2 linked regions of the Anolis sagrei genome follow. The main gene of each other region encodes a partner of the protein of the gene in region 2 in a complex. Links are inferred from orthologs where the notes say so. Each region holds a gene or a part of one and is shown on either strand. Other genes may lie near its edges.

The links.
Region 1: ACTR3 (region 2) and ARPC5 share a complex: the UniProt entries of both Homo sapiens proteins name them as parts of the arp2/3 complex. The link is inferred for Anolis sagrei from reciprocal best matches to the Homo sapiens genes ACTR3 and ARPC5.

What each region holds. Positions count from the first base shown.
Region 1 is NC_090024.1:122,447,048-122,462,743, reverse strand, and holds the start of ARPC5 (actin-related protein 2/3 complex subunit 5), read right to left. Parts: upstream 8,332-15,696; 5' UTR 8,252-8,331; coding exon 8,109-8,251; intron 94-8,108; coding exon 21-93; intron 1-20. UniProt on the Homo sapiens protein: Component of the Arp2/3 complex, a multiprotein complex that mediates actin polymerization upon stimulation by nucleation-promoting factor (NPF).
Region 2 is NC_090021.1:215,783,302-215,798,982, reverse strand, and holds the start of ACTR3 (actin-related protein 3), read right to left. Parts: upstream 7,580-15,681; 5' UTR 7,274-7,579; coding exon 7,230-7,273; intron 1-7,229. UniProt on the Homo sapiens protein: ATP-binding component of the Arp2/3 complex, a multiprotein complex that mediates actin polymerization upon stimulation by nucleation-promoting factor (NPF).

The sequences.
Region 1 (15,696 bases), on a different chromosome or scaffold from region 2:
ATATTCTCATGGTGACCCACCTTTACAGATTGACTCTTGGTGTTGATGGGTGGGTTCTTCAGAGCTGCTTGTAATGCAGCTGTCATATTACCTGTAAAGAGACGTTAAGGACAACACAGCCTTGCTCACCATTACAATTAATAAGCTAGTGATATTTTACATATTGCAAACACCAACTTCCGTTTACAAGAACAGTAGTCCTTACAACAGCCTGGCAATGTAGGTCAGTATAATTTCTGGGTTGGTTCTGAAGCTGAGGGAGTAGTAGCTTACCTAAAGGTGATTTATGAATGTATGGATGAAGCAAGATTTAACCTAGAACTTTTCTGGCTTAAATTCACTCTTTTCTACTATAAGGTACTAGGATAAAACAGTGTTGTCTTATGCACACAGCTATAAGGATAGCAAAAAACTAAAATGCTCACCAAGTTTGCCCAGGAACAAGCAACAATACAATACTAAAACACAGAAACAAGAAACAGAACTTGTGCTACAGGATTCAATTTTTCCCCTCGTACTGTTTTAAGACGGGGTTGGCAAAGAGCAGTCCATGCTCTTTGCCCGTGCTATGGCCATTTAAACTCAAGGGTCAAAACAGTTTGACACCAAATGCAACCTAGGGCAGTGGTTCTCAACCTTCCTAATGCTGTGACCCCTTAGTGCAGTTCCTCAGGTTGTGGTGACCCCCAACCATAACACTATTTTTGTTGCGACTTCATAACTGTAATTTTGCTACTGTTGTGAATCATAATGTAAATATCTGATATATAGGATGTGTTTTCATTCACTGGACCAAATTTGGCACAAATACCCAATACGCCCAAATGTGAATACCGGTGGGGTTGGAAGGGGGATTGATTTTGTCATTTGGGGGTTGTAGTTGCTGGGATTTATAGTTCATTTAACTCCCATGACCAACAGAAAATACTGGAAGGGTTGGTGGGCATTGACCTTGAGTTTGGGAGTTGTAGTTCACCTAAATCCAGAGAGCACTGTGGACTCACACAATGATGGATCTGGACCAAACTTGGCACGGATATTCAATATGCCCAAATGTGAACACTGGTAGAGTTTAGGGAAAATAGACCATGACATTTGGGAGTTGTAGTTGCTGGGATTTATAGTTCACCTACAGTCAAAGAGCATTCTGAACCCCACCGATAGAATTGGACCAAACTTCCCACACAGAACCCCCATGGTCAACAGAAAATACTGTGTTTTCTGATGGTTTTTGGCGACCCCTCTGACACCCCCTCGTAACCCCTCTAGGGCTCCCGATCCCCAGGTTGAGAAACACAGACCTAGGGGATGTAAAGGGAATAGTCATCACCTTTGGAGGCTTCCAGAGTTATCCAGGAGTCAATAGCAATGTTTGGCAACCCCCCCCCCCTTTTTTTTTTTAAAAGAAGATTTGAAATGCCCATCAGGGTGTGGGTTGTGCACTCATCATGTTTTGTCATCCCACACACACACACACTTCAGCATATGTTAAGGAGGGGCTTTTTAAAAAATTCAAAACACAGTAAATGCCTAAAAGGGCAAACATTTCAGGAAAAGGATTTATTTTTCTAATTTTCTCTTCATTATTTCTTGAAGGCCACTGAAATGTGCTAGAAAGTCTCCTCATATGACAATCTGTTTCCATTTTTAATGTTTCCATATTTATGATATCAATACCAGTTAGTTACACTATCATAGACTAGATGCAACTGTTTCCATAAAAGGTAAGCCACTGCAGAATGCATGTACTTCCTCTACTGCTTCAGTTTGACACCAGGAAATTTGAAAGCTGTGGTCCTGTGACTCCTCCTCTCTCTCATGCCATTAGATTTAGCACTGTTTAATACATGTTTTAGGCCCGTACCAGCAAAGCAAAAGATACAGACACTTTTGAATATTTACAAGCAAACCATACTGCTTGTATGCTTCTAGAAACCATACTGCCTAAATGCCTCTAGAACATGGCCATATAGCCCGAAAAAACCCACAAGAACATACTGCTTGTGTCTAGGATATCCATGCTAACTATATTAAGCACACTTTACTCATATATTGTGAATACTTAAAAGAGTCTTTAACTTTTACAATGCCTGTACAAACCTTTCACACTGAGATAGGAGTGGGCCACAGCAGTGCAGAAACACTGATTTGGCTAGAGAATGTAAAAAGCAAAAACCTCCTCCAAATCTCTGCAAGCAGGAAAGGGTGGTTTAAGGGACAGTGAAATATGCACAGTGGGGGGTGGCTGAACACCTATTTATACCCTGCCCTTCAGCTACAAAGGTTCCCTAAACAATTACAATTAGTTAGTACCTTGCCATCAAGCTTATATATGACCACTAGCTTCCCAGGGGATACTGAAAGTTACTCTTAGAGCAGGGGTGGAGTAAGTACCATTATTTATAATTTATAACCTGACCAAAAAGTTCACATTGCAATTATGGGGTATTGATCAATTTTTCTATGTTTAGTTTAATCATGGGATGACAAAACAGAAAGAGAAACAATAGTTTAGACCAGGGGTCCTCAAACTATAGCCCTGGGGCCAGATATGGCCCTCCAAGGTCATTTACCCAGCCCTCGCTCAGGGTCAACTAAACAACTTGAAAGCACACAACAACAACAACAACAACAACAACAACAACAACAACCCTATCTCATCAACCAAAAGCAGGCCCGCACTTCCCATTGAAATACTAATAAGTTTATTTAAATTGTTCTTCATTTTAATTATTGTATTGTTTTTAAGTATTTTTGCACTACAAATAATATATTGTAGTGCACAAATGTGCATAGGATTTCATTCATGTTTTTTAAAAATTATAATCTGGCCCTCCAATAGTTTGAGGAACTGTGACCTGGCCCTCTGTTTAAAAGGTTTGAGGACCCCTGGTTTAGATTGTACACACACACCCTTTCCCAGCTTTCAAAAGTAAGGGCAAAATCAAGGGAAGAGAGGGAGCAAAGGAAGTAAAAAGTTAGATAAGGCTTTGTGTATTAAAGGTGGAGGCAGTTTAAAATCCTTGCACAGCTAAGACTACCAAGTGTCAAACTGGCTTGCTCTTACATAAATCACTTCCTGATACAGATACACACCTCTGTTCCTTTTATTTATATATAATTTTATAATTGTATGATATTGTATGATCTGTATATTAATGTAATTTGTATTAATATATTATGATGCTATTATGTTTACTCTGTTTGTGTATGAATTTTCTGCTGTCAGCCGGCCTGAGTCCCTCTTCGGAGGTCGAGAAGACCGGGTTATAAAAGCTCTAAATAAATAAATAAAATAATATAATAAAGAATAAAAAGGCAATAGAATGGCCTACAAAACAACAATTTTATAGAACAAAGGAAGGCAGAGGGAGTGTAGTTCTCTGGTCAATCTATAGTAGATCAGCAAGTCTGATTCCCTAGTGACTCACAACAGGAAAATTATAATGTCCCCAGGCTGCTGAAACAAAGAAGTGAACAGAGAAGCAAGAGGATAACATGTGTTCTTTTTTCAGGATATATCCACCCTCCTGAGCCACTATTTTGTACATGGCAGGACCCCAGACTTTAAATAAAAGGTAAAATAGGTCCTGAAAGCCTTGTCTGCTCACCTGTTGTGTGTGCCTTTAAATTGCCTATTAATTTATAATGATCCTTTGAATCTCAAAGAGTTTTGGTGCTGAGATTTGGGATATTTTAGAGCAAAATTATTTATTGCTGATTAAAAATAAAAGCAGTGTTGACTGGAAGAAGATTTAATGTGAATAGCATCTGTTACATGCATGTTTTGTATGTGCAAACTACGGTTGATTTATGGCAATCCTATGAATATCAAATGCTTTTCTTAGGCAAGGAATACTCAGAGGTAGTTCCTTCCTTTGAAATATAGCATACAGCACCTAACAGTTATTAACAGTCTCCCATCCAACACAAACCAGGGCAGACACTGCTTCACCTTGAATATCAGATGGTGCCTTTAAGGTATTTCGGCATTAGTGGCAACCTTTTTATCCCCAACTTCATATTGAGGCTCCTTCTTTGGAAGCTTTTAAACAGAGGCTGGATGGCCATCTGGCAGGGGTGATTTGAATGCAATATTCCTGCTTCTTGGCAGGGGGTTGGACTGGATGGCCCATGAGGTCTCTTCCAACTCTTTGATTCTATGATTCTATGATTCAAAACTGTGTGGGTTAAAATAGTCTCTCAGCAGTCATTTGTCAGTCAGAAGTTTATGCAGAAATCTGGTGAGGTAGAGCTGTGGGGAACTACTTAATACAAATCTCAGTCCACTCTTCTTTATTTTCTATCCCAATTCCCATGCTGTGTTAATTATCATCATCATCATATTTAATTACTTATTAATTGCTCTCCATCCGAGAATTATAATCTCAACCATACCTTAATTATAATATAACAGATTATATATATATATATATATACACACACACACACATACATACACACACACATACACATATATACATACATACATACACACACATATATATACATACACACATACCATAAGATCCAGTATAAACATGATATTTTGTTTTTACAGGCAAATTATATGTATATTTATTTTCATTTCATCCCACGAAGTTTGAGTGGATTTATTCCCACATAAAGACCTCTATAATCAAAATTCAGCTGCACTCTTCTGCAATGTAACTTGAGAGTAATCCCTTATCAAGCCTTCTTATATGTGATCATCTATAAAATCGGGCTTCAATCCTAAGCAAAGAATTAATGAATGATAATGATGATGAAGCAAATACGCATATGATTCTTTTGATATTCAGAGTATCTCAGATATGTCACTTCAGTAAGTCTCCTGACTGGCCATCAATACTTCCTATCCATATTAAGATGTGGGGAGTGTTGGCTAAGAGACAGTAGTGTCATCTAGTCCAGAGCTTCTTAAACTTTTTCCACTTGTGACTCCCTTTTTGCCATGGAATTTTACATGACCCCAGATACATAGATATATCTAATAGGTATAAAATAAAATATTTACTCAGGCATTGTGTGGTTTCCGGGCTGTATGACCCGTATTGTTAGTGCATTTTTTTCCTGACATTTGTGGCAGATGGAACCTCAGGAGAAAATGCTTCTAGAACATGGCCATACAGCTTGGAAATCACGCACCTCAGTGATTCCGGCTGTGAAAGCCCTCAACAATACAAGTATTTACTGGTAATAAAAAGCATTTGCAAGGCTTGCTAAACAGGCTGATTTTTCTTTTTGTGGAGTACACCTGAAACATTTTTTGCTGAGTCCACTGCAACGCTGCAATTTATTACTAACAAAGGCCTTTTCCAAACAGCTGTACAATATCCACACTGATATATTATATGGCAGTGTGGACTCAGCTAATCCAGTTGAAAGCAGATACTGTGGATTATCTGCCTTGATATTCTGTTTAAACTGGTTTATCTGAGTCCACACTCAGATAATGTGGGATTTTCTACCTTGATATTCTGGGATACAGGCCTGTGTGGAAGGGCCCTCAGATAACCCAGTTCAAAGCATTCTGGGTTATATGGCTGTGCAGAAAGGCCGAACATTGCTTCAGTGCTTCAGCATTCAGAAACTCTTTACCGTTGTCAATTTTTTTGTGATCCGAACGTTGAGCTAAGGGGACGCTATTTGGGATCGGGACCCACAGTTTCAGAAGCATGAAGGTGTTTAAGATCAATTAAGGGTGCGCTGTGATTTTTAACTTTGAATGTGTTTTGACGGTTTTTAACTAGGATTTTTAAAAATTCTGGTTATATTTAATCCTGTTTTAATGTTTGCATATTTGTATATTTTTAAATTGTTATGCTGATGCTTTTGTGTTAAGCTGCTCTGAGTCCCCTTCATAAAGCAGGGTATAATAATAATAATAATAATAATAATAATAATCAGTGTTCACATAGCCCCACCACCAAGGCCTGAACAAGTATCATTTCCTTCACCATGTATTTCTAAATCAACCATTAATTAAATGTCATCTCCAAAATTCCTGACCAACCAAATTCTGTTGTTTTCCATTTTCGCTCTCTAAGACATATTTAATAAAGACCAACCAGTATGCCTCAAAATCTGATCTGTTAATTTCCCCCCTGAATACCCTCATTTCCATTGTTAGTTTATCATTTAAAGCTACATTCCAAACTTCCCTATACCTTGCTTCCAGTGTTAGATTAGTTATTATTTTCCAATTCTTTGCTATTATAATTCTTCCCACTCTGAGCAAAATAGTCACCAATTCTTTCTTACTTGTTTCTACATTCAGCTACGTGGTGTCCATTACTAATGCTAACCTAGCATCCGGCATAATATTTGATCCTATAATGTTGTTTATTTCGGTAAATATATCCTTCCAAAAATTCTTCACTTGGGGGCATTCCCACCATAAATGAAAAATTATTATTATTATTATTATTAAACTTTATTTGTACCCCGCTAGCATCTCCCGAAGGACTCGATGCGGCTTACAAAGGCCAAAGCCTCAACACAACAACAGCAAACAATAACAATACAATACAAAGCAAAAATTAAAACATAAGCAATGACAAAAACATTACACTATTACACATTAAAATCAGGCCGGGCCAATGATGGGTACAGGTTAAAAAGTGCTGGATGTGACGGTGGTATGTTGGAATTCTGAGTAAGTGCAATGTGCAGAGAATCTTAACTCTAATAAAGTGTTTCTGGGACATGGTGCTGGGGGTTATCCTATTCTGGGAAGGCACATCAGAATAGCCAGGTCTTCAAGTTCTTCCTAAAGACTGCCAACATGGGTGCTAGTCTAATGTCTTTGGGGAGGGTGTTCCAGAGTCGGGGGGTAACCACAGAGAAGGCCCTGTCCCTTGTCCCCACCAAACGCGCCTGTGACGCAGGTGGGATCGCGAGCAGGGCCTCTCCGGATGAATGAAGGGAGCGCATGGGTTCATAAATGGAGATGCGGTCACGCAGGTAGGCAGGTCCCAAACCGTTCAGGGCTTTGTAGGTAAGCACCTGCACCTTGAATTGGGTTCGGTAGGTAAACGGCAGCCAATGGAGCTCCTTAAACAGGAGGGTTGACCTCTCCCTGTAAGGAGCGCCAGTTAACATCCTGACCACCGCCTGTTGGACCAGTTGGAATTTCCGAGCCGTTTTCAAGTGCAGCCCCATGAGCGCATTACAGTAATCCAATCTAGAGGTGACCAAGGCATGGACCACCCCGGCCAAATCAAGCTTTGCGAGGTACGGTCGCAGCTGGTGCACAAGTCTTAGTTGTGCAAAAGCCCTCCTGGACTCCGCTGACGCCTGAGCCTCAAACGTAAGTGATGAATCCAAGAGGACTCCCAAGCTGCGGACCTTTGACTTCAGGGGGAGTGTAACCCCGTCCAGCACAGGTTGCCATCCTATACCCCAATCTGGTTTACGATTGACCAGGAAGACCTCTGTCTTGTCGGGATTGATCTTCAGCTTGTTCCTCCTCATCCAGACAGCCACAGCGATCAGGCACTCGTCCAGCACTTGAGGGGCCTCCTTGGAATTAGGTGGAAATGAGTAGTAGAGTTGTGTGTCATCTGCATAGAGATGGCACCTAACTCCAAAACTCCGGATGAGCATGTGGTGGATGCTCCTTCTTTGTAAGCTTTTAAACAGAGGCTGGATGGCCACCTGTCAGGGGTGCTTTGAATGCAATATTCCTGCTTCTTGGCAGGGGGTTGGACTGGATGGCCCATGAGGTCTCTTCCAACTCTTTGATTCTATGATCTGTCAGGGGTGCTTTGAATGCAATATTCCTGCTTCTTGGCAGGGAGTTGGACTGGATGATTCTATGATCTGCTTTGAACTGGGATATATGGCAGTGTGGACTCAGATGGCCCAGTTCAAACCAGGGGTTTTCTGCCTTGATTTTCTGGGTTAGATGGCTGTGTGGAAGAGCCCTGGGCCTGCCCCTTTTCTCTGTGGATGCCTCAAGTGTCCTGCCAAATGCTCCCTCCCAACTTGCATGGTACTGAGGTGTGTGGGGGAGGCGAGGAGATTGCACTGCTCTTGGTGGGCCGGAAGCCTTGTTCCCTCCCCCCTCCCCCTCTCCCTCAAGGGCCAAACCAGCAGAAGGATATTGCCTGAGGCAGGAGTCCACCTCGCCCTCGTCGGGGCCCACCTGCCCGTCGCCGCCGTCCTCCTCGTCCACGAACTTGTTCTCGTCGTACTCGTCCACGTCCACTCGGCGGAAGCGCGCGGAGGAGACGGTGTGCTTCGCCATGGCTGCGCCCCACCTCACTCACTCCCTCACTCCCTCAGGCAAGGAAGGAAAGCAGGAAGAAGAAGAAGGCGGCGCTCCTCCCTCCCTCCCTCCCAAGCGGAGGCGGTGGCCTCGCGTCAAGAAAGAGGCGCCGCGCATGCGCTGGAGAAGCGCTCGCGCTTGGGGGGGGGGGAGCGAGCGAGCGCGCGGACTCTCCCGCCGCGCGGCACTTGCCTTTGCGAAATACATAGGAGACTGAGACTCGGCCCAGATGCATATCTCCACCTTGCTTTTTTAACAAGTCTTGTTACCAACGATATAACCGCTTGCTTTGTTATTACTCTACTGCGCAGGCGCCAAACTATCATTTCCTCCCCCCCCCAGAGGTCTCGCTCATGCGCAGAATTGCGGACCGACGTGGTGAAAGAGCAAGGTGTGAGCAGCACGTGACCTCTGACGCGCCCAGCGTCTTCGGTGAGGGCGGAAGTGCTCGGCCACGCCCCTCTTTGGGTTTAGCCGTAACAGGGGAAAAGTATCTCCCTGTGTCGCCGTAAAGCGGAACAGACAATAAAGGAACATAGAAATGCTGGACCACACCAACAACCACCATGTCAGACTACATAGAGAAGCCATTGAAATCCACAAGCATGTGGACAATTTCAACAGAAAGGAAGAGACCATGAAAATGAACAAAATCTGGCTACCAATATTAAAAAACTCAAAAATTACAAGAGCAAAACAACAGAGAGGAAACAACCAGGCACATCTTAACACCTCTCAACAGGGGATTTTCCCAGGCTCAGCCAGGCCTTCAAATGCTAATGAAGGTGATCAGTTGAAACATTCACACCTAGCTGCAGCAGGGAAGAGCTCTTTGCCCCACCCCAGCCATTCCACAGATATATAAACCCATTGTCCTAATTCCAACAGACCTCACTACCTCTGAGGATGCTTGCCATAGATGCAGGCGAAACGTCAGGAGAAATGCCTCTAGAACATGGCCATATAGCCCGAAAAAACCCACAAGAACCTAATAGAGGAAGACATTTTGACCCCTCTCACAACAACATCCTCTTCGGGTTGTTGTAGGTTTTTTCGGGCTATGTGGCCATGGTCTAAATGCATTCTCTCCTGACGTTTCGCCTGCATCTATGGCAAGCATCCTCAGAGGTAGTGAGGTCTGTTGGAAGTAGGAAAATGGGTTTATATATCTGTGGAATGACCAGGGCGAGACAAAGGACTCTTGTCTGCTGGAGCTAGGTGTGAATGTTTCAAATCAAATCATTTATTTCGGTCATTGACCAGCACAGAAAATAGTCACATTTTCATAAAAGCTTGGTATGTTTGGTACATTAAAAATATAAATATAACGATTCAAGCACAATATGGGTGAGGGAGCAGAAGGGAAGGGGAAAGCAGAAGGGAAGGGGAAATTGTGAATATTTCAACTGACCACCTTGATTAGCATTTGATGGCCTGGCAGTGCCTGGGGCAATCTTTTGTTGAGAGGTGATTAGATGTCCTTGTTTGTTTCTTCTCTGTTGCTGTGCTGTTGTGATTTTAGAGTTTTTAATACTGGTAGCCAGATTTTGTTCATTTTGTTCAAAACCCACACACACAGATAGATATCTACATAAAAACTCCAACCATCACCCAAGTCAAAAAAGAAGCACCATTAAAGCCTTGGCAGACCGTGCAAAAAGAATCTGCGAACCCCACCTCCTCCAAGATGAACTGAACCACCTCAACTGGGCTCTACAGGCCAATGGATACTCCACCTCAGACACCAGAAGAGCTGCAAGACCAAGACCAAGCCATGAGAATAAAGACGAAGATCTACCCAGAGGAAAAGTGTTCTTGCCATACATCAAGGGAACCACTGACCGCATAGGGAAGCTGATGAGGAAACACAACATACAAACTATCTTCAGACCCACCAAGAAAATCCAACAAATGCTACGTTCAGCAAAGGACAAGAGGGATCCTCTCACTTCTGCAGGAGTCTACTGTGTACCATGCAGCTGTGGACAAGTCTACATAGGGACCACCAAACGCAGCATTGCCCAAACACAAATCAAGGAACATGAAAGGCACTGCAGACCACGTTAACCGGAGAAGTCAGCCATAGCAGAGCACCTGAGGAACCAGCCTGGGCACAGCAGCCCTGCATCTGGTACTTTCCAAGTGCACTTCTCTAGGACCCGGTCTATAGAGTAAGTTGCGTTGGGCTGGTTGTTGCGACCTCCGATGATGGGAGGAGAAGCGCTCCCTAAGGTATGATGGACCCTGGCCGTAAAGGTCAGAACTAACATCTTATACAGGCCACGGTACTCATTTGGAAGCTGAGGCGAGGGAGAGAGACTATTTCCTCTTTTAAAAACTTCTTTGCTGCCTTATACTGATTCAGTTTCTTCTTTTATATTGGTAGGGGCTTTCTGTGTGCTGTCAAACCTTTGTATTGTATATCGCAGGCAATGAAACACTCTTGTGTAAAACCAAGTAACACAGTTTATTTATAACTTCTGGCTCCAACGCTTGTGGTTACATTTGTGTTTTGTTGCAATCTTGAGGCTTACAGTCAATATCATTTACTTGGTTAACTTTTCTGAATAAACTCTCAATGTTTCATATTCACAAACATGTTACTTGCTTTACACACTCTTGGCTGAATTATATTCTGAACTAAGGCAACACTAGCCTTCTCTATATTCCTTTAAACTCGAGCTCTATTTACTAACTGCTTCTCTGTATCAGAAGTCTTTAACACATCTTCATAACTGTTTATTTCTATCAGGCACTCAAAAACCAACTCTTCACACACAGATTCCAAACTGTCATTTTCAAACTCCCTCACTCTAACTGCCTCTTTTAGAACCTTGGATCCGCCCCTTTGGAATGTTCAGCTCTGCTCTCCCCAACTGTCATTTTGGCCTAGCAGCCTTTTCAAATCCTGGGCCTACACTAATCTGCATATGACCAATTGGCTTCACATATGCAAATGAATCCTATCTCTGCTGTTGCTACCCTGTCTGTGCCTATTCTTCCCTTTCTGCCATATGTAAACATAGAGCTATGCACCAAAACTTTAACACAGAGTAGCAATTTCACTACAGAAGCCAATGTAAATGTTGCAGCACTGGTGTTATATGGCATTTCATGAGTTTTCTTGTGAGTAACCTGGCTGCCGTATTCTGAACAATACGGAGCTTTCGGGTCGTAGACATCGGAAGGCCAACATACAGGGCGTTGCAATAGTCCAAATCAGATATGTGCAGTGTTTGAGGACTCCTGGTTTATATAGACAAAGTCATAGGAAACTCCAAATTCTGGGCCACAATTAGAGCATCCTGCAACTTTGGTGGTCTTGCCACATGTTGCCTTGGATTACCTCTTTGTGGTATTTGGTCAACACAGCCGATCTGAGTCCCTTTGTGGTAAGTCTGCTCAGTTTGCTGCGGCTTTATTGTATTTATGTCCCACAAGGTTGTCAGATAATCACAGGGCAGTTGAAAGAAAAAAATGATATAGAGTAATAATATAAACCAATTATACAGGAAAAAAATGAAAAAGTTTTAACATTCGAATTGAAAAATGGAGGACTGACCCTTACTTGGCTGCTGGCGGTCAGCCGTTCTTGGCAAGTGGAACTGTCCAGTGGCTAAAGCAGAGATGACAAAGAGGGCTGGTTTTTGGTTCTTCCTTTTGCTGCTGGCAGCTGAAGCTTTCTATCCTGGCACAATATCCAGTTCAAGTGAAAATAATGTGTGCGTTTTGCTGATTCCATGCTAATGAGCTCCAGTTTTCCCAGCTCATTGTATATCTCCTATGTAACTATTTGTACCAAGGGAATTGCCCAGCCCTGTAATAGCTTTCTAGCTGAACTGAATTTAATCCTTTTTCTTCCTGTGGCCTTCATGCTCCGCCGGCTTGCTTGCCTCAGTGTTGTTTAGTAATTTTCTCCATGTGAACAGCTCTTCCCTTGGGAATTACTTGCAAATGTTTCACTTTGCTTAATGAGTCATTTGGCATTTTTAAGTGCCTCACAATATTTCTAGGTTTGGGGTGTAGGGGTTGCTGTTTCCAGGGGGAAGAAACATTCATGGGAGGGGTCAAATTGAGAGGTTGCCTTCTTAGCGGAGGCAATCTGCTATTCATCAGTTGCACTGGATGCTGTGAGTATAAAGCAGACATATAGTTCTTTTGCAGATTTGGCATAGCACTTGCATTTCCATAAATTGGCTGAGGCAAGGCCTTCATGAAAGGAGACCGCATTCCTGTTATGTTGTTAAGGTGTTGTGCATTCTGTCTATCAGTCAATGCTCTTATGGGCAAAATTGGACGGTAATAACCTGCCTGTGGGACATTAGTCACAAAATTATGGAGGACAGAGTGCCAAAGTCCACCGCAGAGGGGGTTCAGTGTCACCTGAGGCCAGAGGCTGGCAAGGCTCTGCAAAGCTTCACAGTTCCATGGAGATACTGGGAGGTCCTCCTCTGTGTGATACAGCTGTGAAAAATAAATGCAAAGTGTGATTCCTGGATACTTCATCAAGAAGCGGTAGATTTTGCTTATGCAGCAGTGCTCAGCCTCGTTGCAAGGGGAATAGTTGGAATAGAGAATTATGTACATGGCATTTTCCCAGTTGTGTACGACAGAGTCGAGGTAGCCTCCAGTTTCAAATAACATTGATTCTGGATGGATGTCATTCTCTGTACAGTTCGTTGCGTGACCCTTTTGCATTCGTTTACCTGAGAAGTGCCTTACTTCATAAAAGAGAAGGTGTTTATTTTGGTGATGTGTTGGCCCATAGGGGAACCCAAAAGCTTGATGGAATTCAGCATAAGGGACCCTTGCCTGCTCCCCTGTTCTTATATGATACGGACATCTGGCACAGGCCTGGCTTGTGTTTAGCCAGTAATACGGCTTCACCACTGTACCATGGGGTACTAGGTACTCTTGACAAAAAGCTTCAGTCTCTGGGTCCATGAGGCTCTGGGAATCTTGTCCTGTTACTGGAACAGTCCTGAAACACACATAGACACAAGCAAAAAACATTAGTTATTTTTCCCGCTTCCTTTGAAACTTTGAGATTGCATTTATATTATAATTTACACTGCTTTGAAACTGGTTTAGTTATAGCAAAACGTTAGGTACAATATTGAGGTTCTGTTTTTTCGATAGAGTTATAAGCTGGGTAATAATAATAATAATAATAATAATAATAATAATAATATGTATTGTCGAAGGCTTTCATGGCCGGAATCACTGGGTTGTTGTAGGTTTTTCCGGGCTATATGGCCATGTTCTAGAGGCATTTTCTCCTGACATTTCGCCTGCATCTATGGCAAGCATCCTCAGAGGTAGTGAGGTCTGTTGGAAGTAGGAAAATGGGTTTATATATCTGTGGAATGACCAGGGTGGGACACAGGACTTTTGTCTGCTGGAGTTAGGTGTGGTGGAGACTCCTTCTTTGGAAGCTTTTAAACAGAGGCTGGATGGCCATCTGTCGGGGGTGCTTTTGGTAGGGGGTTGGACTGGATGGCCCATGAGGTCTCTTCCAACTCTATGATTCTATGTTGATGAAGATTTTGAGAAAAGCTAGATTAACATGCCCCTGTGGACGCACAGTTCAAATCAAGTATTTGGTGTTTTAATAATAAAAACAAATAGCTGAAAGTATGACTAAGGTGGAATCCCCTTTAAAGCAAAGTATTTCTACGTTCTGGAAGCCAACATTGCCCTGGCTAAGGATGAAGACAGCTTTCAGTTTTCATATAAAAAAGACATTTTGTTCCCTTTCAGGAACATTTTGTCATCCAGCTCTTATAGAAATGCAACCTTATGAAGAAGAGAAGTAAAAAAAAACACAGAGAAACTCAGTGTGATGGCACAAGTGGCGCCACCTATGTGTAGAACTGTTAGTTGCAAGATTTAAACTGTTGTATCATGCTTAATCCTGCCCCTTTTACCCTGCTTATGTATAGTTGTATGGATTGGTTACTTATAGCTGTCAATCAGTACTGTTTGGCTCCACCTCTTCCTGCAGGAGGGGAGTGCTTCCTTTCCTTTTCATTCTGCCATCAGAGTTCCTACCATATGGACGTGAGTAAGAGACTTGTCTCTAAAGGACCCTGATTTAAGTAACCTCTTAGCACCAGTTCTGAGGTTTTTTACCCTTGGGACTCATGCTTTATGTCCAGATCATCCTGGACAACACTGAGGAGACCCAAGCGCCTTCAAACCGGTTCTTTTGGCACCAAAGGAAGATCCTGAGTCTTCAAAACATAGGCCATCTGAACTGGGGTTGTGGTTTGCTCCGGCATTCACAGCCATTGAGGAAAGAGGAAACTTGGGGAGGCTTCTCAGCTTCAAACACCTTGGACCCAGGACTAATTGAGACTGTAAAGTATATTTGCCTTCACCCCTCTGAAGTTTTCAGCTCATTGCTTTAAGAAATAACTCTTTGTGATAAATAAAAACTTATTTTGAGTTATTTACAACATTTTGGGTTTTTGAGAGTTCCAGTTTCCTATAGGAGGGCAAGAAGCAATCCCCTGGGGAAAGATGCCACGTCGATGCCTCCTTCATTAGGAATTATTTATTTATTTATTTATTTATTACTTGCACTTATTTACCGCCACTCTCAGCCCAGGGGGCGACTCGTGGCGGTGAACAACAACATAGAAAAGACAATTTACAGTTATCAGAACAATACATAACATGCTACTACTACTTGACATATACTTATACTAAAAATCCGCTTCGTCATATCATGGGTCATAGTCAGTCTCATAGTCGTGGTCCATTCCGGTCATCATTGCCAAGATATAGCACTCAGTTAAAGGCCAACTCGAAGAGCCATGTTTATAGCCCCCAGGCGCAAGGGCACACTCAGCTTTAAGGACTCGAGTTCTTTTCACTGTACAATCTCTTGCTTTAGTAATATATTTCCCACACATTTGATAATTGAGAGGCAAATACTATTTTGCAGTCAGAAAGCTGGGAACTGGCTTGATCAACTCCAAAAACAAGGAGTGGGTGAGCATCATTCTTGTAAATTTGAGGCAGCAATTAACAGCATGGTTCTAAATATTCTTTGTAGCATATTGTGTGTAAGCCTGCAGCCTGTGGTGCCTTTCGATGGTACACTCCTTCCTCCCAGTTAATTAGGGCTCTGGTGCAGATTGTGACTTCTAGGCCAGGGGTCCTCAAACGTTTTAAACAGAAGACCAGGTCACAGTCCCTCAAACTGTTGGAGGGACTGATTATAATTTGAAAAAAAATGAATGAATTCCTATGCACACCGCACATATATTATTTGTAGTGCAAAAAAAAAACACTTAAAAACAATACAATAATTAAAATGAAGAACAAATTTAACAAATATAAATATTTCAAAGATATGTGTGGGCCTGCTTTTGGCTGATGAGATAGGATTGTTGTTATTGTGTGCTTTCAAGTTGTTT
Region 2 (15,681 bases):
GGATAGCATGTCTCTCTGAATCAATGCCTACAGGGGTTAATGGGCAGGATGAGGAAAAACAAACTGAAACTGAACCCAGACAAAGCAGAGGCGCTTGTGATCAAGGGTTCAATCTGGTGTTGGAGGTATGTCAATCAGTTCTGGATGAGGTTACACTCCCCTGAAAGACTGTTAGCAGCAAAGGAGCGCTCCTGGATCCACCTCTCCAAATGTCAGCCCAGGAAGAGTTCACAATATAACCAATACAATATAACTGAAAACCTAAAAATATACAAACATTAAAATATAGTTAAACATTAACAATATTAAAAAAAAACCCAGTTAATCCCTTAAAACAAATTAAAAACCTATTCATATAAAATCACTGCACCCCGACGGGATCTTTAAAACTTCCTTCTTTAAAATACGTAAACCTTCATGTTCCGGTGAAGAATAATTAGATTATATTTTATCACATTCTCAAGATGAGTATTTAATCCCTTTTTGTGGGATTAAACAACTGAAAAATGGATAACATCAAGATTATTCTTCCAGGATTTTCACTTAGGAATTTCTTGAGAAGTCAGTTCAGCCATGATGTTTCTTACAAAAAGCTACAAATTCAATGTGAAAATTAAACATTAAAGTTCTCATCACAATGAACAAAAGAGATAAACTTGTTTTTGTGCAGATGAAAAAGCTGTTCTTTTAGGAACATATAAATCAATATCCAAAATCTCTGCTACACATTTCTTTACTTAATCTGTATGATGACATCACTCTCCCTTAACTGGGACTCAGGACAGATCACAAGACAACTAAAAAAGGTAAAAATAAAAATAAAGTAAGTTATGATATTAAATAGTAATTAGGCTAATTAAATTAATAGTCAAATGAATATACAATTATTTTTAAATGAGTTAAGTTCAGCACCTCCCTTTAAAAGTCTTTTTCTGCAGTCAGTTGCTAAAAACTTGCTGAAATAAATAGGGCTTAGCCTGTCATCCAAAGACAGCATGGAGTGGGTAATAATAATAATAATAATAAACCTTTATTTGTACCCCACTACCATCTCCTGAAGGACTAGGTGCGGCTTACAAGAGGCCGAGCCCAAATACAACAATAAAAATAGCAGCAGCAACAACAACACAATAACTCAAAAAACAAAACAATAGCAAAGAATAGCAATAACATTAACAACACCCAATGACGCAATTAAAAACAATGGCCGGGCCAAGTGCTGGGCATGACAAGGTGGGGTGTTTGGAGGGGGATGGGCATGCAGATATCCTGGATCTCTGATAAAGTGCGTTGGGACATAATGCTAGGAGTTTCCTTATTCTGGAAAGGCGCACTGGAACAACCACGTTTTCAAGCTCCTCCTAAAGATTGCTAGCGACGGGGCCTGCCTGATCCTGATGACTTTAGGGAGAGAGTTCCAGAGTCGAGGGGCCACCACCGAGAAGGCCCTATTCCTCGTCTCCACCAATTGCGCTTGCGATGCCGGTGGGATCGTCAGCAGGGCCTCTCCAGATGAACAAAGAGATCGTGTGGGTTCGTACACAGAGATGCCTAGCTTCCCTTTAAAGGTACTTCCACAACCTGAGAGGAGCCTTCTTGTCTCCTATGTAGTAAAGATGGCGTGTTTCCAGTTCCATGTATGTGAGTAACATGATTAGAAAATTGTGTGAATGAGTACACTGCCATGCTATGTTATCATAATTAACAGTTTACATATATAGAAGACTATGCTAATTTCTTACAAAAGAAAACAACCTGATGCCCAAGATTCTATATTTTCTTTACATGCAATTTCAAGGAAGTAGTTTCATTACTAGGACAGTTTCTATTCTGAGTAATGGACTGTACATAGGTGAGCAAACTGAAACCTAACCATGTTAAGGCAAAAGTGTTCCTGGTTTGTCAAAAAGCAAACCAGGGAATAAGGATTCAATCTGTGCTAAATGGGATTGCATTCCCACTGAAATTACAGGTTTGTTGCTTGATTGTAATTTTGATTTTAACCCTAAACCTGAATGTTCAAGTTTTCATAATAGCCATGAATGCATCTGCACTGTTGGGGCTAATGTATCACTTGTTGTTCCTGGATGTTAGATATGGGTACAGCACACTCACCACTTGAATATCTTCCACTTGGGCCACTACAGTATAGCACTCTACATGGGGCTGCAACATTTGCTTAATCTGTATATTGTCTTATTTTTAATTCTACCTTAGAATCATAGAATCATTGAGTTGGAAGAGACCTCGAGAGCCACCCTGTCCGACCCCCTGCCAAGAAGCAGGAAAATCGCTTTCAAAGCACTTTGCTTTAATTTGTTCCACTCATGAACCCTAGTTAGAAGAAAGGCTGGGTATCAATTAAATAAATAAATTGACTTTAAAAATGATCTGCAAAATAATGGCATAGGCTCCAATACACAGTAACTACCACATGTCCTCAGAACAGTTTATGATTGAAGAGTATTTCATATTTATAGAAATGCAAATATTTTTTAAATGAACTGTAATTACAAAAAATGGATGCTTGGAATCAATGGCTTAAATAGGACACTGCCTAAGAAGTTCATAATCCTAATGTGCAAGGTAATTGAATATAATGTGAACAGAATATTACCTTACACACACGCATGTCTGTATGTATGTATCCTCAGGTTCACAATTTATGCATGTTGTACCACCAACCATAAAACAAGTTTCATAGTTTATGTAAGATAACTATTTAAAAATCACATGCTATGAAAAACAGATTTTATCACAGTTTGTGGAATACTTCTTTTTTTAAAAAAAAGGTCATCTAGTCTCACCCAAGTTACGATGTCATACATTAAACATTACATTTAACTTTACTGTGTCATCATGACTGAACTGACAAGCCATCTTTTGCACTATACCAGAATTAGAAATCAAGTTCTGTACTACAGTTTGGCATGGTGTTCAAATAAGCTAATCTTAGTTGCAGATAGTGTAACCCAATGCACCTGAAAGATCAATCCACTGTGAGTACAAATCAAAATTTGGTCCATGTCTGAAATGAACCATTCTGATACATGTTCGAACCTATAAATCAATCTACCATCATTCTAAATTTTCATTATACTGCATTTTTAAGATCTCAGTTCTGTAAGAACCTCCATACACACTTAGCTTTCAAAACTCAATTAACTTTTAATTAAGCAGGATCGTTTAACACTCCAGTTTTGCTGCAGGGAAAGGAACATTCAGGAGAATCTCAGGGACATGAACCAGGCACTGCAGCTCCATGTCTAACTGGAGACCTGCATTTCCCCTTTTCACTTTTAAATGTTCAGCTCTTAGTATAAGCACATTGTTGCATGAAGAGTACCTCATAAGTCATCTATAACAGGAACTGAAGTAATCAGAAAATAAATCTTTACAGGTAAACACAACATTTGTGGGCTATGAGAATGAGAAGGAAATACATAGTAGTTTCCAATCAACTTATTCATTTAAACAACCATATCTTTACATTAAAGCCAATCCGCATCAACAGAAGAGACAGAGAAAGGTGTAGGGTAGAATGGCATCAGAACAATTCAAGTCAGAGGAGTACAATACATCATTGGAAATTGAAACTATACATAAGAACCCGATGAATACAAATCAATATTCTAAAACAGGTATAGGACTCAGGTAAGTAAGCAAGTATCTAGGCAGCATGTGCCCATTAACACTTACAGCAATGCCCTAAACAGTGGTTCTCAACTTGTGAGTCCCCTGCTGTTTTGGCCTACATCTCCCAGAAATCCCAGCCAGTTTACCAGCTGTTACTATTTCTGGGAGTTGAAGGCCATAACATCTGGGGACCCACAAATTGAGAACTACTGCCAAAAAACCTCTTCATTGGGTTCAATGTTAAGTGTTAATAACTGCTTCAGCTTCCTCTATTCCAAAATCCAGCCCAAAACAAGCAAAACAAAAAGGTTACTGGATGTTACTGGAAAATCATTTCCAGTTTCAGAAAACTGTGGTATGCAACTCCCATGAAGGACTGAGGGCACTTAAAATGGGTCCCCCTATTCTCTATGTGTCTCCTCTACATGCTAAACATAAAATAAGCAGCTTCAGTACTGAGAATGTAATTCCAGGATAATAGCATTGAGACCTCCCATCTTTCAATTTTCATAGGAATTCACAAATTTAGTTTGTTATTTGAAAGAACTATTAAAGTTGTCTGTGCAATTTTATCTAATATTTTAAAAATCCTGCCTTCAATTGTCAAGAAGCAATTCAGGAATTTTTTGCAGAATCAGGAATTAAATCCCTTATTCACTTATGATTATCCCTACCTCTTTGACCCACAGATCATTTTAACATTATAATTCACACTGAGTTCTCAGAGATGTAAAGAAGCCTCATATAGATGTGCATAGTCAAAACTTCATTAAAAAAGGTTTTCGAAGGAGAAAACGTGACTTATTAAGTATTGTGTGATACTGAATCACCATAAGTTCACCAAAACAACACAGCTTCCAGAAATGTATAACAGTAGAAAATCAAAAGAATTTATATATTAAGATTTTCATTATAGCTTTAATTTTAAATAGTCAGAGACTAGCTGTACTTTAATCCTGTGATGTTTTTTCCTACTCTTTTTCTCACCTACACATGCTTTTTCCAGATTGAAAAATAAGCTGAAGCGGTTCCTATTGATCTACACACATTTGCATGTTTTCGAACTGCTAGGTTGGCAGAAGCTGGGGCTAGCAGCGGGAGCTCACCCTGCTCCCTGGATTCGAACCACTGACCTTTCAGTCAGTAAGTTCAGCAGCTCAGCAATTTAACTCACTGTGCCACCAATTATATGGGCTGTAAAAGCAGACCTGTTATGTTATTATTTCATTGCTAGATGCTGCAAATACAATCTACATATCAAAATGCTGCTGAGTTATTTTCAAAGTCATCTGCATATGCACTGAGCAAAGGTCTTCACAAAAAGAAATTTCCTTACGCCCAGTTTCTTAAGGCACCAAAAAGAAAGATACAAAACGCTCATTTCAGGAAGTCCCCAATGGCTTAGTTCACTGTCTGCTGGAAAGCTCCATTCTATAAGCAGATATTAAATATTGAGCATTGCTATTTTTCCTTGCAGCTGTCAATTGTAAAATTTAAAAAAAGGATTTGGTTCAGGTTTGACACTGAAAACTGCCTTATAAGGTATAGAAGCCTGAAAGGAGGAAGAGCCTTTGACAAAACTAAGGAAGTTGGTTTGCGCTTGCTCACTAGAGCGGGTGGACTTTTTTTTTCACCCACACACAGAGAAGTAATGCTGAAGAAATGACACATATGGAAAAAACATGACATTGCTTAATAAAGCTACCGCTCCACTAGATCTATCTGCAGATTACAGACAAGAGGGTGAAATCCTTTCAAAATTATTTGTTAGCCGGCTTTGATTTGGAAAGCATAAAATATTTAAACTGTCTGAGCTTGACTCTGTGGCTAAGCTGCATGAAAGTGCACGTTTTCATTATGAAAGAAATGGGGAAGCTCTGCTTCTTCAAAGAACTAAAGGGTGAAATTTCTAGGCCACTGAAACGAGTAGAAAAATTATGGTATGCAATGATAATATTAGGGTGCAAACACCCAGTTTCCAGAGGACATCCTCCTAATGGAAAACGTCCAGTCAGCCTTTAAATGAACAATGAACAGAAACAGTAGCGATGGCATCTTCCGTGACTTTATAATGGGGAGACAATGCAAGCCCACTTCCAGAAAGGAAAGAAATAAAGAAGTGCATGAGAGAGGCCACCGCCTCTGAGGAATGAGCAAAAGGCCAATCCCACATATTTAAACCTGGAAGGAGCCCTGCTGTTTTAGGGCGTGACTCCCTTCTCCTCCCACAAAGCCACCTTCCTGAAGGTGGATGCCTTCAAGACAAGAACAGGCTGAGCAAACCGTCAAAACGACAGCCATGGAGGAGACAGGTCCCCTTTCTCCAAAAGCAAAATCCATATATATCCAACTGCCTGCTTACTTTACACACCTCTGAAAATGAAATACAGGGTTCCCTTTCCCCCCTCAGATGGTTCAAAGCTTTTTCTCACCTCACTGACACCCCTCTTCATGTATGTATGTATGTATGTATGTATATGTATGCGTATATAAAACACACTCACCTCACAACTTGTAGGGTTAGCAATGAAGGGGGGGGGGAGGGATGTCAATGAGGTGAGGAGAAGCTTTGAATAATCTGAGAGAGAAAATAAACCCTGTACTTTTTTCAGGGGTGGGTAAAACAGGCAGGCTGTTGGACCCACACACAACTTGGAGGGTTTGCAACAGAACAGAGGGAGCAGTGGGGGGGAAAGAGAGCCAAAGGGGGGGGGGATTGGCTATGCCTCGGGGAAAGGAGGAAGGAATAGCCACCTTTTATTTCATTTTCAAATGGGGGTAAAGCAAACAGTTGCCCCATCACACACACCCACACAAATATATCCAACCTAATAATATTACAGTAGAGTGGTATAGCACAATGTAGTTATATATAATACTAATATTGTGCTATGCTAATAATACAATATATTGTGTATATATGTAACTTGTAAGCCGCTCTGAGTCCCCTTCAGGGTGAGAAGAAGGGCGACATATAAATGTTGTATTATGTGTGTGTGTGCACACACATACACACAACTTGATGGGTGTGCAATGGAGAAGGGACGAGAAAGTGGAATGTCAATGAACTGAGGTTTAGATGTACTTAAAAAGGGACCTTTTCTTTGATTTGGGAAGGGGTGGGTTGAAGCAGGCAGTTCCACCCCCTCACCCCCCGCCCCACACACACACACACACACATACTCACACACATGCATACACCATACAATACACACACACATCTATATACATCACACACATATTATGTATTATATTATATACACAGAGAGAGACCTTTTATTTGATTTGGGAAAGGGGTGGGTTGAAGCAAGCAGTTCCCCCCCCCCCACATACACACACATGCATACACCATACAATGCACACACACATCTATATACATCACACACACGCATACATTATATATTATTTTATATTCACAGAGAGAGTGGGGCCGCCCCCAAAGGGAACCGCAATGGCAGCCTTCCCTTTCCCGTCTCGGCGACCTGTCAGCAGCCAGTCAGCCAGCCAGCCAGCTCCCAGGCAGGGGCTGGCCTCCTCCGGCCCATTCATCCCTCTCTGCCCGCCTGGCTCCCTCCCCCTGGCCCTGGGCTCACCCGGTGCCACAGTCCACCACGCAGGCCGGGAGCCGCCCTGCCATCCTCCTTCCCGGGTCGAGCGGCGGCGGCGGCGACGGTGGCGCGGAGGGAAAAGAAGGTGCGGCCGAGGCGCCCGCGGGACTGGCTCGCCTCCTTCTTGCCTTCCTTCCTGCCTTCCTTCCTTGCACTCAGAGGACCGGAGGAGGAGAGGGAGGAGGGGGGCGGGGGGAGCGAAGCCACCCACTTCCGCAAAGGAGCCAGTCAGTCACTCCCAGCCTCGGCCTCGCTCCCCCCTCGCTCACACTCACACACGAGCGCGAGCCCAAAATGGCCGCCTCTTCCGTCCCTCCCGGCCGAGAGAGTCGGAGGAGGGGGGAGGAGCCGCGGAGAAAGGGGGGGGGAAGGAGGAGGAGGGGGCGGGCGGGCGCGTCAAACCGAAGCATGCAGTGACGCGCTCGCGATTCGGGAAGCGTGCGGCTGAGGAGAAGTGGCGCGGGCGGGCCCTCGGCCAGGCTTCTCTTCTTTCGCTCTCCCCGCCCCTCCTCCTCCTGCCCACTACTTCCGCTTCTCGCCTGCCTGGGTTTCATAGCCCAGCTTGAAGCAGAAAGGTGAACTCGCCCAACAGAAATCACTTTGGGCCTTTCAACTCAGCCCTATAGCCCAGAATATCAAGGCAGGGAATCCCACAATATCTGCTTTGAACTGGGTTCTATGAATCCACTTTCAGATAATGTGGGATTTTCTGCCTTGATATTCTGGGATATAGGGCTGTGTGGAAAGGACCTAAATTCCCATTCCCCCTTCTGAGGGCCCTTCCACACAGCCCTGTATCCCAGAATATCAAGGCAGAAAATCCCATATTATCTGAATATGAACTCAGAAACCAATTCAAATCAAGGCAGAAGATTCCACATTATCTGAGTGTGGACTCAGACAACCCAATTCAATTCAGATATTCTGGGATTCTCGATATTCTGGGGTATAGGGCTGTGTGGAAGGGCCCTCAGAAACCAGGAATGAATGCAGTTTAACACCACTTTAACTGCCATGGCTCAGTGTTAGGTCATCCTGTTGCTAGGATTTGCAGTTTTACAAGATATTCAGCCTTCTCTGCCAAAGAGTGTGGGTGCCATTACCTATGGTATTTGCCACAGTGTGCGTCTACACTGCAGAATGAATGCTGGGTTGCTGTGAGTTTTCCAGGCTGTATGGCCATGTTCGGGAAGCATTCCTGACATTTCGTCCACGTCTATGGCAGGTATGTGGGCAATATCAACAGAAGGTAGGAAACCATGAAAATCAAGAAAATCTGGCTAAAAACCCTCTAAAATCAGGGTAAGATTCAAAAAGCGGTAATTCCAGACCGGAAACAATCAGGGCCAGCTAGCACCTCCCAACAAAGGATTCCCCCTGGGCAGGAAGCAGCCAGGCTTTGAAGCTGCAAAGCCATTCAGTTTCAATCAAGATGGCCAGTTGCAACATTCACATCTACCTCCAACAGACAAGAGTTCTTTCTCCCACCCTGGACATTCCATAGATATATAAACCCCACACCTAATTTCCCACAGACCTCACAACCAATTAGGATGCCTGTAATAGATGAGGGTGAAACATCAGGAGAGGGTGCTTCTGGAACACGGCCATACAATCCCGGAAAACTCACAGCAACCTAATGATGCCAGCCATGAAAACCTTAAGCAGCACATAGAATGAATGCTGTTTGGCACCACTCTTAACTTCTATGGCTAAATGTTGTGGGATTCTGGGATTGTAGTTTGGTGAGGCACCTTTGGCAGAGGAGGCTCAAGGCCTTGTAAAGCTACCACTCCCGGGATTCCATAGCATTAGAGCCAATGCAGCTCAAACCGCATTATTTCTACAGTGTAGGTGCACCCTAGGGATTGGAAGGGCAGCTGTGAAGGAACTAAACAAGATCCTTAAGTATTAAGGTGCACCATTGGATACCAGAGGCATGATTGTCCGTGCCATGATAGTTCCAATTTCTTATATAGAAATGGTTGTAAAAACGGAACAGGAAAGAAAGGGTACTTATATTGTTGCTTATGATGCCTGCTTTTATTGTTTATGATGATGATGTTTTATGCTGTTTTATATATGGGCGTTCTGTTTTTAACTGTATGTTGTCTGGGCATGGCCCCATGTAAGCCGCCCCGAGTCCCTTCGGGGAGATGGAGGTGGGGTAGAAAAATAAAGTTATTATTATTATTATTATTATTATTATAAATCAGATGAGAACCAACTCTTTTGAAATGTGACATTGGAGAATTGTACTGTAGACTGCTTTAAAAAATACCAGTATAAATGGTTCTTAGAGCACATCAAGCTTGAGCTCTCCCTAGAGGACAAGATGACTACACTGAGACAGTCATACTTCAGCCATATCATAGAAAGACATGACTCACTAAAAAACAATGGGAAGATGGAAGGCAACAAGAAGAAAGGAAGACCACATTCCACATGGATGGACTCAATCAAGGAATCAATTGCCCCCCGAGTCTTGAAGGCCTGGCTTATTGATGACTTAGAACAGTGTTTCTCAATCTGAGGGTCTGGAGAGGGTTAGTGAGAGGAATGTCAGAGGGGTCGCCAAAGACCACCAGAAAACAGTATTTTCTGTTTGTCATGGGGGTTCTGTGGGAAGTTTGGCCCAATTCTATTGTTGGTGGGGTTCAGAATGCTCTTTGATTGTAGATGAACTATAAATCCCAATAACTATGACTCCAAAATGTCAAGGTCTATTTTCCCCAAACTCCACCAGTGTTCACATTTGAGCATATTGAGTATTGGTGCCAAGTTTGGTCCAGATCCATCATTGTTTGAGTCCACAGTGCTCTCTGGATGTAGGTGAACTACAACTCCAAAACTCAAGGTCAAAGCCGACAAATCCTTCCAGTATTTTCTTTTGGTTATGGGAGTTCTGTGTGCCAAGTTTGGTGCAGTTCCATTGTTGATGGAGTTCAGAAGCTCTTTGGTTGCAGGTCAACTATAAATCCCAGCAACTACAACTCCCAAATGACAAAACCAAACCCCCCCAACCCCACCAGTATTAAGTATTTGTACCAAATTTGGTCCAGTGAATGAAAATACATCCTGCATATAAGATATTTACATTACTATTCATAACAGTAGCAAAATTACAGTTGTGAAGTAGCAACAAAAATAATTTTATGGTTCAGCGTGACCACAACATGAGGAACTGTGTTAAGAGGTTGTGGAACTAGGAAGGTTGAGAACCACTGACTTCGTACCTCATCCCACAAAGGGGGAAAAGCAGGAGGAATCGTCTTCCTTCCTTTGAAATAAAACAAGAGAATTTGCTTACTCCCATCACTCCTTCCTTTTCTGTTTAACCCTGTGCTTCATTTCTCATCACATGGGCGAGTGTTGTCTCCTCCCATTCTGTCATCCGTACAGTGTAGACTCAAACAGTGATGGATTTGGACCAAACTTGGTACCAATTCTCCATACTCAAAAGTGCAATTACAGAATTTCAAAGGTCCATGCTTCAATTGCACAGTCACAGTATCAACAACAAAATATTTTTAAAAGGAGAATAGAAGTCCAAAGACTAATGGCAGCAGAAGGAGCAACAAGGAGCATGAAAAGACCCCTCACATGAGCACCCACCCTGAAATATCAGAATATGGACTGAAAATTGATAAATGGACAATTTCCCATAGAAAAATACCCATTTCTAAACAGACGGAGACGAGTGGTGTCGACTATCTTGTCTTTAAAATCCACCCGTTTCTACGGAGATGAAGACCCATGGAAGTGTCCTGTGTCATTTAATGGGATCCGTGGAATCCCATCTTTGAAGTGTGTAGAAATAGAGGACAACTTCTAATAAGGTCCTTAGAGGCCTGTCATCTATAAGGTTGCCATAACAAAGTTGACTTAATGGCAATCAACACTAAGAAACAGCTAAAGTCACCAGATCCCCCTTGGTCTTGGAGGCTAAGCAGGATTAGTCTTGGATCATACTTAGATGGGAGACCAGGTACTGTAGGCTATGTTTCTGAGGAGGTACTTTGTCTGAGTTTCTTGCCTAGGAAAATCCTGTGAAATTCATAGGTTTTGTTTTGACCCCTGGTGGTTCCAGCATGTTATCTAAGTATTGGGGAAATGCCCTTTGTAGACTAGTGATTATTTGGGAATCTGGAACCACATGTGGCCTGCAAACCACATGTAGCTTACCTATTTTTAAGCTATAAGAGTTGAAATCCACAAACATGGATTGCTGCTTATTCTCACTCGAGATAAAGAATTTACATCCAATAATATTTTGTAGTTTCAATTTAACATAGGCTTGCTGCTAAAATCTGACAACAAAGGAAATGTTCAAACTGCTTCCTATGCTTATATGCCTCTTCACAAAATGCAATATAGGTATATTTTCCTAATCTCTGGCCTCTAAATAATTGAAAATGGTTGAGCCATAAAGGAAATCTTTTGGATGTTTTCCATAAACTGCATTAGTGTAAGTGCTCCTTGAAGCCCAGATGAGGGGAGATGTTCATCTGATATTAGTGAGAATGGGTGCTGTTATTGACAGAAAATAATCTACAGTGTATGAAATTATATTTCTCCGTTCTTCACTTCATCTTTAATTGTGGGTCCTGATAATTATGGGAGATGAACATGTTTGTAAAAATACACAGATCATATATTTTCACGGTCTTCTCAGCTAACAGTATAGTGAAATGTATATGTCTGAATTGGAAGCACGATATTCACTTATTGGAAAGGCGCTTCTGCCCTAAATTGCATGTCTGAGATAAAGGTAGGATATAAATCTAACCATTGCATATAATGGAACATGAGCATCCACAAAATTTGGTATCCACAGGAGACCATAGAATAGGGGTGTCAAACTCAATTTTTATTGAGGGCCACATCAACCTTATTGTTGCCTTCAAAGGTATCTGGTGAGTGGAAAAAAAATAAGCAATATGTTACAAAATGTTGGGATCTCAACAGACCAGAGACTATCTATAATATCTGTTGCTAGGTCCTAACACAACCAAATTTTCTACTGGCTCCCACCACCATTTACTAACACAATGTTAACATGACAAATTACAATAAACCAAAATAACCAGGTCCTCATACGAGGAAACACTTCCCAGAAGCAGGGCAAGGGGATAATTTTTGGAACATGGATAAGTGAAGCCATGAACATTAAATACACTGATAACAGGGTTATATTGTAATGGCTTGGTTTCCATAAAACATCTGGAAAGCATGGCTGCATTTATCATTACTATACTTTTGCCCACTGGGCCTTGGAGCCCTTTCCACCAGTATGCTTCACTATTATGGGCATGGTAATGCCTTGGAAAAAGTTGTATTACTGCTGCGTGTTCAATGTCTTTAGGACTAATGGTGTGAGGCTGCACAATCCATTTAATTATTCATTTGGCTTCTATGGGAAACTTCCCACTGGTGTGGAAATCACATATTGGCAAGCTGTTTAACCTCAGCAGGCTGAAAGCCAAAAGTAAGATAACAACAACTTCTGTTATAGAACTCCAATATGCTGATGATAATGTGCTCATTCAAAGGAAGATTTAGAAGCCACTTTAAACATATTTTCAGAATCTATGAAAAGCTTGGCCTTTCAGTTAACATAGGAAAAATCAAAGAACTCTACCAGCAGGCACAAACTAACACAGCTTAATGGTGTAATGTTAGAAAATGTTGACCATTTCTGCTTCCATTTGCAGCCACCTCTCCACAAAAGTCATCAAAATACAACATTGTCTAATCTCTGTGAGTGCTGTGTTTTTTCGAATGAAGCAGAGAATGTTTGCGTATCGGGACATTTGTGGAGATACCAAGATGCTTGTTTATGAAGCTATTCTCCATCCAACTCTGTTGTGTGGCTACAAAACACAGAGCATTTACAAATGTCACTCTTGACTTCTGGAAAGAGTCCATCAGTGTTGCCTCAGAAAAACAAAAACCACATTGAGTCGCCTGTTTGGGCTGAAAAATGCGGTATAGAAATAAAGCAAATAAATAAATAAATAAATAAATAAAAATCCTGCAAATCTCTTGGGAAGACAGGCGGACAAACATTAGTGTGCTGGGAGAAGCAAAGACCACCAGTATTGAAGCAGTGATTCTCACCATCCATTTTGTTGGACTGGCCACCGCTGAATGCCCGGTCTCCTCCTCCCAAAGCAGTTACTTTACTTTCAGCTAAAGAACAGAAAATGGAATGTCAGAGGACAACAAAAGAGATTTAAAGATGGGCTAAAAACCTACAAAAATGTGGCATGAACACAAAAACTGGAAAGCCCTGGCAACTCAAGGTCAGCTGTTACCAAAGGTGTTATAGATTTTGAAGAGGCATGGATAAAGGGTGAAAAGAAGAAATGTGCCAAGAGGAAGGCATGGCAACCAAACCCTTGTGACCACCTTCTATCTGGAAATGTATGTCTAGTGGATCCAGAATAGGCCTTCACAGTCATTTATGAATCCATCGCTAAGACCCTGCTTCTGGAAGATAATCATACTTGGCCATGAATGATGGCCCATGATGACAAGGATTCTGCTTTTTGCCTAAACGAGACTCAAAATGGCTTACAATATAAATTGAAACAGTTTTCCATATGTCACCTGCACTTCCACTGTACCCACTGACTATTTATTCAATGACAATTAAAAGGAGTCACGTATTCATATCTCCCTGTGCATAAATAAACACATGTGTATGAACATAAGAGATTCTTAGAATAGCTAGAATCATGGATGGTGGGTACACCAGTGTTGCCCCATGGAGGTGTTGAGACCTTCTCCCATTTTCTTTTATGTAGCAAGTGAATCTCCTTCCTGTTGATTTATGTGCAGCAATGGATGTGATACTTGAGCAACGTCTGCAGAGATACTTGGGCAATCTGCTAGTGTTGATATGTTGTTTCCTGTTCTCAATAGAAGAAACAGCAAAATACAAAGATGCTTTCAACTAACAGGTATTTACTTAAACATTACTGGACTGCAGAGCCACATCAGATTTTAAGGAACAGAACTTCAATGTACAAGTCACCCTTGTCTGGTACTACAAGCTGCTGCTCCTCTAACCATTTTGGTCCCACCTGCCAAAAATGAAAGCTTTTTTTTCAAAATTGAGTTAGCACATCCTGAAGCATGAAAACAACTGAAACTTGCCTCTTAAAGTGAGAGTCCCACTTCTTTTTTCACTGAGATTGTAAACCTATTTCTGGACTGCACTGTCTTAAGATGACATACTCTCCACTCAGTATATATGCACTCAGGGTGCATTTGGTGTTGTTCATTCGTTCATTCGTTTCCAACTCTTTGTGACCTACTGGACCAGCCCACGCGAGAGCTCCCTGTCGGCAGTCACTACCTCCAGCTGCCATCCATCCATCTTGCCCTTGGTCGGCCCCTCTTCCTTTTTTCTTCCATTTTCCCCAGCATAATTGTCTTCTTTAAGCTTTCCTGTCTTCTCATGATGTGGCCAAAGTACTTCATCTTTGCCTCTACTGTCCTACCCTCCAATAAGCAGTCGGGCTTTATTTCCTGAAGTATGGACTGGTTGGATCTTCTTGTGGTCCAAGGCACTCTCAGAACTTTCCTTCAACACCACAGGACTCCATAGCACTGAGTCATGGCAGTTAAAGTGCAGTTCTACCTGGCTGTGGGACCAAGGCTTTGGGGCAGTAAAATGAGACAATAATAGAATGGTGTCCTGAGATGGTTTAAAACAGTCAATTTTAAAGTTGATATAAGTTATTTTAATGTTTGTGTATATTTATAGTTTATGTTCCGGCATTGAATGTTTGCCGTATATATGTTGTGCTCTGCCCTGAGTGCCCTGCGGGATGAGAAGGGCGGAATATAAATGTTTTAAATCAATCAATCAATCAATTTATTCTACAATGTAGCTGTAAACTCAGACAACCAAACTGATGCAGTCTCTCCTAGCTTGTCTGTTCTTCCTTACAAATAATGTTTTCCATCTTGATCTCTCTCTCTCTCTACAAGAAAGGAGATTCCATCTGAACATGAGGAAGAACTTCCTGACTGTGAGAGCCGTTCAGCAGTGGAACTCTCTGCCCCGGAGTGTGGTGGAGGCTCCTTCTTTGGAAGCTTTTAAACAGAGGCTGGATGGCCATCTGTCGGGGGTGATTTGAATGCAATATTCCTGCTTCTTGGCAGGGGGTTGGACTGGATGGCGCATGAGGTCTCTTCCAACTTTTTGATTCTATGATTCTATGATTCTCCCCCCCCCCCCCCACTCTCTTTTTGTTATTTGTATCCTGGTTTTTATCTATTAAATGTTGAAGGGTATGCAATATTTTGCGTCTATTTCCCCACCACACTCCTTCCAATAATTTTCCTTTCATTTTTCCATAGCTAGACATGTATAGGATTACAGCTACATTCCATTAATGGAAGTTCTGGTAATACATCTTTGATC